2 linked regions of the Canis lupus familiaris genome follow. The protein of the gene in region 1 binds, or shares a complex with, the protein of each later gene. Links are inferred from orthologs where the notes say so. Each region holds a gene or a part of one and is shown on either strand. Other genes may lie near its edges. The genes, in order: KCNQ1 and KCNE3.

What was found.
Region 2: the proteins of KCNQ1 (region 1) and KCNE3 are in contact, whole or in part, in a cryo-EM structure (PDB 6V01), measured with the Homo sapiens proteins. The link is inferred for Canis lupus familiaris from reciprocal best matches to the Homo sapiens genes KCNQ1 and KCNE3. Residues at the interface, in NP_000209.2 of Homo sapiens: Arg116, Pro117, Thr118, Gly119, Trp120, Cys122, Phe123, His126, Phe127, Phe130, Leu134, Leu137, Ile138, Val141, Leu142, Ile145, Gln147, Tyr148, Arg181, Met238, Val241, Asp242, Gln244, Thr247, Lys362, Asn365, Ile368; in NP_005463.1 of Homo sapiens: Asp54, Asp55, Asn56, Ser57, Tyr58, Ile61, Met65, Phe68, Ala69, Val72, Gly73, Leu75, Ile76, Leu77, Tyr79, Thr80, Arg81, Ser82, Arg83, Val85, Lys87, Asp90.

The regions. Positions count from the first base shown.
Region 1 is NC_049239.1:47,055,975-47,059,779, forward strand, and holds part of KCNQ1 (potassium voltage-gated channel subfamily KQT member 1), read left to right. Parts: intron 1-601; coding exon 602-697; intron 698-2,860; coding exon 2,861-2,983; intron 2,984-3,805. UniProt on the Homo sapiens protein: Pore-forming subunit of the voltage-gated potassium (Kv) channel involved in the regulation of cardiomyocyte excitability and important in normal development and functions of myocardium, inner ear, stomach and colon.
Region 2 is NC_049242.1:23,974,288-23,978,551, forward strand, and holds the start of KCNE3 (potassium voltage-gated channel subfamily E member 3), read left to right. Parts: upstream 1-1,199; 5' UTR 1,200-1,378; intron 1,379-2,510; 5' UTR 2,511-2,806; intron 2,807-2,851; exon of another isoform or gene 2,852-3,007; intron 3,008-4,264. UniProt on the Homo sapiens protein: Ancillary protein that functions as a regulatory subunit of the voltage-gated potassium (Kv) channel complex composed of pore-forming and potassium-conducting alpha subunits and of regulatory beta subunits.

The sequences.
Region 1 (3,805 bases):
TGAAGGCAGAGGCAGAGGCTGTGTGCCTGGTGAGGCCTGGCCAGGCCAGGCCAGGTCCTCCCCAGAAATCACCGTGAGGGTTATACCTCCCCATTCCCAGTGTGTGCACATAGGTGTGTGTGTGTTACATGTGTCCTCATGGACACACGTGGGCATATGTATGATGTGTTACTATGTGCACGAGTCACATACACACACCACGTATTGTGTGTTGCATGTGGACACATGTCCGTGTTCTGTGTGTATATGTGTCACCTACATATAAACTCATGCAGTACGTGTGCACCTCTCGTGTGTGCTGTGTGTATAGTATGTGCATTTGGGTTGTGTGTCTACAGTGTTTGCCCACGTGCTGTACAGTATGTGTGTGTGCATGTATGATTGATCCCCTAGGTGGATGGGGAGCTCCCTCCCTGACGAGTGGGTCCTGTCCATCCCATTGTCCATCCAGGGATGCAGCTGCACACCCTCCCACAGGGCTACCTTCTGCCCACCCTGTCTCCCCGACACCCGCACTGTCTCCCTAGTTCCCGTGTCCCACAGGCCGGCCAGGCAGTGGCTGCCTGCGTGGACGTGAACCCTGGCCTCTGCTCCTCCCCAGGGGATTCTCGGCTCTGGCTTCGCCCTAAAGGTCCAGCAGAAGCAGAGACAGAAGCACTTCAATAGGCAGATCCCGGCGGCAGCCTCGCTCATTCAGGTGACGGCACCTGCCATTGTGATGGCCAGTCTCGCGTCTGCGGGTGAACACAAGCTAGTGTCCGTTCTGGGGATCCAGAACTGGGAACTGCTCTTGGCCGTGAAGCTCAGTGCGGATCCTTCTGGAACATAGATGAGCTGATTTGGCAACACAGACGTACACACCCGTCGTGCCTTCTCCTGGGACATGCAGGTGGTCTGACAGGGTGGGCACTGGAGCGCGGGGCGCCCATATCCCTTCCTCGAGGGTTCTGTGGGAAGTCACATCTGAGCAGGCCAGGGGGCCAGGATGTGCCCTGGCCAGTCCCGGGGTGGGGTGGTCTTTCTGTGGGCCCCTCACCTCTCAACCACAGTGGCCAGCCTTGGCGTCTTGTTCCTCGTTCTCCTCCTGTGGCCACCCCTCTGCTCTGCACTGGAGCAGGTCTGGGAGGCAAAGGGGAAGGGTCCCTGTGTGGCCATGTCCCAGGGTGGCTAGGGCTCTGCTTATGCAGCATGGGCACTTCTGAGTGTCCCTGGCACTGCACGGGGCTCAGGACTCCCCGGTGGCAGCAGGTGAGGACTGGTGAGCCGATAGCATGGCTGCCGTCTGGATTCACGGGCCCCTTGGTGCCTGATGGGGACCCTAGGGAGGCTGTGACAAGCCTGGGGGGCTGGTGGCAGCAAAGCCTAAGAGCAATGGGGAAGGGGGGGGTCCTGAGTTCCTGGATGTTCCGCTCTGCTCTCTGACCCAAGCTCCTGGACACACCAGAGGCTCGCTGAGCCTTTTAATGCACACAAAGACTCAGGCGGATAACCATTTGCAAACTGGGTCCCAGAGGGTCCTGGGGCTCAGCATCATCCACCCGCGGATATGGGACCCTCTGCCCAGCAGGGCAGCTGTATCCAGCACTGGATGCTCCCCTGGGTCACCCCTGTGGCCTGGTCTCCTGCGCCCTCTGCCCCAGGCAGGGCCCCATGAGGGGTGGCCACCATCAAGCGCTGCTCCACCTGGGAGCCTCAGCTCAACCAGGGGCTCCCCTCATCCCTCTGAAGCCCTTCCGGAACCCACTGTCTGGGGCCTGGACGGTGTACCTGGACGGGAAGGAAATAGGGGCCATAAAGCCGAGGGGCTGGGCCCCCTCAGGCCTGGTTTTACAGCCCCACAGCCTTCTCCTTTCGGGGAGACCATAAATCAGGCCGTAAAACCAGCCCAGGCCGCTGTGGGCAGACTGTTGTGGGAGGGGAGCGTGGCGGGTTCCTCGCTGAGCCTTGGGCCTTAGGGGCAAGCACCCCTGCAAAAGACCAGGTCTGAGTGGAATGTTCATGGGAGTGCAGACGTGCCCGCCACAGGAGGACCAGGGCCCCAGGGTGTGGGACGTGTAGTGGCCAGGCCATACGTTTGTGGGCAGGACACATGCCCACTGCTGGGGAAGGTGGGAAGTGGACGTGGTGAGTCAGCCTCGGAGGGGCCAGGCCTGTGGCCTGTCCCATGGACGGCATGAAGGTGGCCAGGCCTGCCCAGGTCCCCATCGTGGGTGATGTCACGGCTCCCCGGGAGCCCTGCCAGCCCCGTGGCCAGCCACACCACTAGGATGCGTCCTCATCTGAGGCTCCTGGCACCCCACCGGTCCCCCACTGCCCACTCAGACATGGCGTGTCCTCCCCTCGGATCCCCTGCTGTGGCATCACTTCCTCCCTGCGTGGTGGCCACAGGGGCATCTCTCTAGAGCATAGGCCCAAGGCCTTCTGCACCCGCATGACATCAAGAGGCTCCCCACGGCTACGGACGGTGTCCGGTGCTGGGAGCCCACATTTGGGCCTCTGGGAGGGGCCTTGTTTCCCAGGCCCTCCTGCCTGGTGCCCACAGCCCGGGGCGCCCTTGGTTTCTGTGGCCATCCCTGCACTCGCCGTGCAAGCCCCAAGGAGAGGCAGCCATGGGTGTCTGTGCATCTGTGGGAGGGACAGGTTGGGGAGATGCTGGCAGGTGCATCGGTGCTCACAGGTGAGGGCCTCTGTGATGTCTGAGCTGTGAGTACCAGCCAGCACGTGAGGCTGCCTGGTGCAGGATCAGCCATAGGAGATGGGGGGCTGGCATGCAGGATGGGGTGTGGGCAGGATGGGGGAGCTGCAGCTCCCACGGGAGGCCCAGCGGGTAGCTGACTGCCTCTCTCTTGTGCTGGTTCAGACGGCGTGGAGGTGCTACGCGGCCGAGAACCCCGACTCTTCCACCTGGAAGATCTACGTCCGGAAGCCCGCCCGGAGCCATGCCCTGCTCTCTCCCAGCCCCAAGCCCAAGAAGTCTGTCATGGTAACGGCCCCCATCTGCACCTGCAGGTGGATGGGATCCCCATTAGTGATTAGTGGGTGGGGAGGCTTCGGGGGCCACGGCTCCTGGGCAGGGTTTGACCTAGGGTTTCATCTGAGCCCACATTGGGGCATCACCACTACAGGCCCTGGGGCGGGGGTGCATCTGTGCCAGGCCTTGCAGCCCCAGTGTCCCCATGGCTCGAGGCCCCTAGGAGCAGCCCCAGGAGCAGGATGAGCTGGGCTCTGGCCAGTGGTGGGAGAGAAGGCTCTGGAGAGGGCCCTGGTGTCAGGCTGGGCACAGTGGGTGTCTGTCAGGTCAGAGGTGGCATCCCAGCTCGGGGAAGAGGGTCTTGAGGTTGGTGTGCAGGGGATTCGGACAGGCTTCGGGTGGCATGCTGAATGAGGGTGGTGCCCACTCCCGCTTGGGGGTGCCCAGCTCTCCCGGGTGCCAGCTGCCCCCAAAGCCCCTGCACTCTCTGTTCCCTCCCAGACCCCTCCACCTCCTCCCAGTCACCTCCTCAGAGGGGTCTTCACCAGCCCCTGCTGCCCCCCCCCCACATGCCGTCGCTCTGCGGCCCTTGTCAGCACGTGCCCTGGTGCACTCTTGGACGTTTACCTGTCCGCCCGCCCCTCAGCCTGAGCTCCCGGGCAGCGCCTGTGCTGAGCCCCCCACGGGGCCCCCGGCAGCATCACCACGCCACGGCCCTCCCTGTCTGCCTGCGACCGTGCCGGCACTTGGCCCCCGAGGTCTGGTTCCCTGGCAGGTGCCCAGCGGGGACCGCCAGGGGGTTCTGGGGCCGGCGGATGCCTGGGAACCGCCAGC
Region 2 (4,264 bases), on another chromosome or scaffold:
CTATGACAGGAATCCTGTTCCATCTTTTCTCATCTAATAATAATAAGAGCTGTCATTTATGAAGGACATGCATTATGCTGGGCCCAACCTAGGCCTATTACACACATTGGGTCATCTAAGCCTTGTAGCAAACCCGCAAATCACAGATAAAGAAAATGAGGCAGCTCAGTCCACTTTCTAAGAACCCCTTAGCCAGTTAGCTTCCCTAACAGAGTTCTTGCTCCATCCTCACTCCAGAGAAAGGGAAGTGGAAGACAGGTCTTAAGTCTCTGAAGAACCAAAAAACGGGAACAAAAAAATTAGGCACATACTTTATATCTCCAGTGGGCACAAGGACCAAAGGGTAGAAGTAACAAGGAGGCAATTTTTGTTAAAACATGAAAACATCCTAACAATCAGAACCTTGGCTGCCATCAAAGGATGAATGGATAAGAAGATGTGGTCTATATATACAATGGAATTTTACTCAGCCATTAGAAAAGACAAATACCCACCATTTGCTTCAACATGGATGGAACTGGAGGCTATTATGCTGAGTGAAGTAAGTCAATTGGAGGACAAACATTATATGATCTCATTAATTTGGGGAATATAAAAAATAATGAAAGGGATTATAGGGGAAAGGAGAGAAAATGAGTGGGAAATCTCAGTGAGAGTGACAACATGAGAAACTCCTAACTCTGGGAAATGAACAAGGAGTGGTGGAAGGGGAGGCGGGCAGGGGGATGGGGTGACTGGGTGACAGGCACTGAGGGGGGCACTTGACGGTATGAGCACTGGGTGTTAAGCTATATGTTGGCAAATCGAACTCCAATAAAAACATATACAAGAAGAAGAAGAAGAAGAAGAAGAAGAAGAAGAAGAAGAAGAAGAAGAAGAAGAAGAAGAAGAAAGAAGAAGAAGAAGAGGAAGAAGAAGAAGAGGAAGAAGAAGAAGAAGAAGAAGAAGAAGAACAACAACAACAACAACAACAACAACAACAACAACAACAACCTTGGCTGCCTTGGAAGCAATAACTCCTTGTCACTCAAGGTATACAGGAGAAGCTGGACAGTCTCATGTTAAAAATCAAATATAGGGGATTTTTAGGTAAGGGATTTGATCAGATAATTTTAAGAGTCCTTCCAACTTAGATTCTATCACTAAAAGACTCTAGAACTCTAAGACGGTGTGATTCTAAGACTATGATTCTAAATCTCTATCTTCAAAGAACTCACAATCTAGTAGATGAAGTGGGCAAATAGTTACTTTTGATAACTATAGTAAATAGTCCTATACGGTAAATTCAAGGCTCTGGGTAGAATGGAAGAAGGAGCCATACCTTAGCCTGGGCTGGTTCCTCAGGGCTGATCTTAAGAACCACTGGCATCAGAATCAGGTGGGAAACTTTTTTATTTTTTTTAAGATTTTATCTATTTATTCATGAGAGACACAGAGAGAGAGAGAGAGGCAGAGACACAGGCAGAGGGAGAAGCAGGCTCCATGTAGGGAGCCCAACGTGGGACCCCATCCCAGGTCTCCAGGATCATATCCTGGGCCAAAGGCGGCGCTAAACCGCTGAGCCACCCGGGCTGCCAGGGAAACTTTTTTTTAAATGTTAAATTTCTGAGCTTCATTCCAGGTCTCTTGGATCAGAACCTCTGGAGAGGGACCCAAAAGTCTACTTTACCAGAATGAGCTCTGAGGTGATTCTTAGGCAGACTGAAATTTGATACTTCATGCCCAGGGTCAGGATGACTTCTTCCTTGAGAGGTGATTGAGCAAAAGGTGTAAGTGGGTCAAAATATGTAACCACAGAAATAACAGGGAAGTAACGTGCTTTGATAAAGAATAGCAATTTTGTATGGCATTCTGTCCATGCAGTGGGTCTTTTTAAAATGATAGCACTTCTTACATATAATCTGAGATTCTATGATAAGGGTACGTGCTTCAGATATTCTGGAACACATCTTTGTTTGCAAGGGAATGAGAGCTGGCCTCAGTTTATTAATAATTATGCCAAAGTAGGAGGTTGTTAAAAAGGGCTCTGATAAGGACTCCCACAGAGTCCCTCAGGGGCTTTCCCTGCCACTTGTCCACTCCTCTGCCTATAGAACCGCCCTGACTTCCCAGCTTTCCCTGGCTGTTTGTCTTTCTAGAGCCTGTAGTGTCACCAGCAAGAAAGCAATAGTGTGAGGGAGGGCCTGGTGGCCAGAAAGTGCAGAGTGTTCTGGGGCCAGGACCAGTGAGGTATGCTGGACAACAGTTTTCAGGGCATGTGAAGAGTGTTGAGACTTAGAAGGAGGAGACATTAGCTGGGGTGAAGAAGAGAAAAGTGGCATAGTGAATTCTGAGTCTGAACCCCGCCACTGTGCTGTTGGGAGCCTGGGCAAGTTCTTCCCCAAACTGGGCCCCTGCATTCTGTCTGGAAAAGATGGCTTGTGTTAGAATCAGGTGATTTCTCCAGTGACCATCGGCTTTAATGTTTGCATTCTACGATCTCAACTAACCCAAACCAACGCCGTGCGAAGCACGAATTTTACCCATTTTACAGCGAAGAAGCTATGGCCCAGTGAGGAGCAGTGATTTGCCAACCACCACACAGCCACTTAGGAGCAAAGCCTAATTCCACCAACACCCAACGCTCAGCCTTGCGTTTAGATCAGCCTGAGGCTGGGCGAGCTGAAGCCAAGTGAGAGGCACTCGGTCTCCGGTCCAGGAAGCAGGCGCTGCAGGGGACGGAAGGGTCGGAGCCCACAGCCGGCCGGCCGGCCGTGTGGGGCCAAGTAGCTCTGGGCGGAGGCGCCCGAAACCAGCCTGGGGAGAAGTGGGTGTGCTGGGGGCCGGGCGGGGCCGGGGGAGGAGGCGCCCTGGGAAAGGTTAAAGGGAGCAGAGGGCAGGTCGGGACGCAGACTGTGCAGACAGGCAGACCCAGCGCGGAGGGTTGCTGTGCGGGGGGCACCCAGGGGCACAGAGTGCGGGGTACTATCTAGAGACCGGCGCCCCTCGGAGTCTTGCCAAGAGGCAGGTAAGGCGCACTGGCAGGGTCGGGAAGGCTGCGCTGCAGCGGGGGATGGAAGTTAGGGGTCTACCCGACTCCGTTGAGAACCCCGACCGGAGGTGGGGGACGGCTCACAGAACTGAGGTGCAGGGATCCCAGGGCCCCGCGTGGGAGTGCAGAGCTGGGAGCCTGGCAGTTCCAGCCTGAAAGCCACGGGGGTTTGCACCGGCACTCAGAGGCTTCAGGAGGGAGGCTTGAAAGCTCTTTCCACGTCCACAGGTATGCATGCGAACACCCGCGGGGCCGCAGCGAATGCACGCGCAGAAATGGCCTTCGGACCCTGCGCGGTCTTCTTGTTTGGCGGGAGCTGCTTGCTCTGCGGAGCCGGAGCCGACTTGCCCATTCGCTATTGCATTGTGCCCCGCGCCTGGGGACTCCCAAAGACGCCTTCTCCTGCTAGTAACAGAGGTGTAGGCTAGGAGTCAGGAGACCGGGTTCTATTTTACAGATTGTGTAAACCCGTGCAAGTCTCCTACTGTACGCCTTGTACTTTCTTTGCCTGGGTCACTACCTATAAAATGAGCCTCTTAGTCCAGTTGCCTGTACACTCCATGTGACATGAGAGGAACAAGGTCTGGACTTGGGATTCTTTTATTTAGAAAGCAGATGAGTTCAGACAGACCCTTGTGTGAGGGTCCGTGAAGAGCATCTCCTCCTATCCCTCCTCCCCACTCTTCACCAATTTGTGTGTGGGGAAACTGAGGCCCGGGGGGGGGGCATAGCTTGCCCAGGGACATACCAGGAGAAGCAGAGCCCAAGTCTCCTCACTTCGAGTCCAGGGGTATCTCCATTTTACCTACAAAGATGCGTGGTAAATGTGTAAGCTCTTCATTATCTCCTGAGATCCATCCTCTTTGCTGGTTCCAAATGGAGGAGACCCCTGCTTGAGGCATGGGAACTGCTTTCAGATTTTCTTGACTCCTTATGATAGCCAACAACCTTCTTCATCCCTCACTAAGTCCACACATCTCAAAACACATTTCTATCCATAAACTAAATGCATGGATGTTCCAAATACCTACTAGGAGGTAAGACAAAACTCCCATCTTACTGATGGGGAATATGAAGCCTAGAGTGGAAACATGACTTAACCAAGACACATGTCTAGACATGGCCAAATAGGGGCATGTCTCTTGATTCCAGCTCTGGTATGTTCTCCATCAACCCCAGGACTACCAAATGGTACCGTTAAATGAAAAGGGACTACAGGGCTGATCAGAGTAT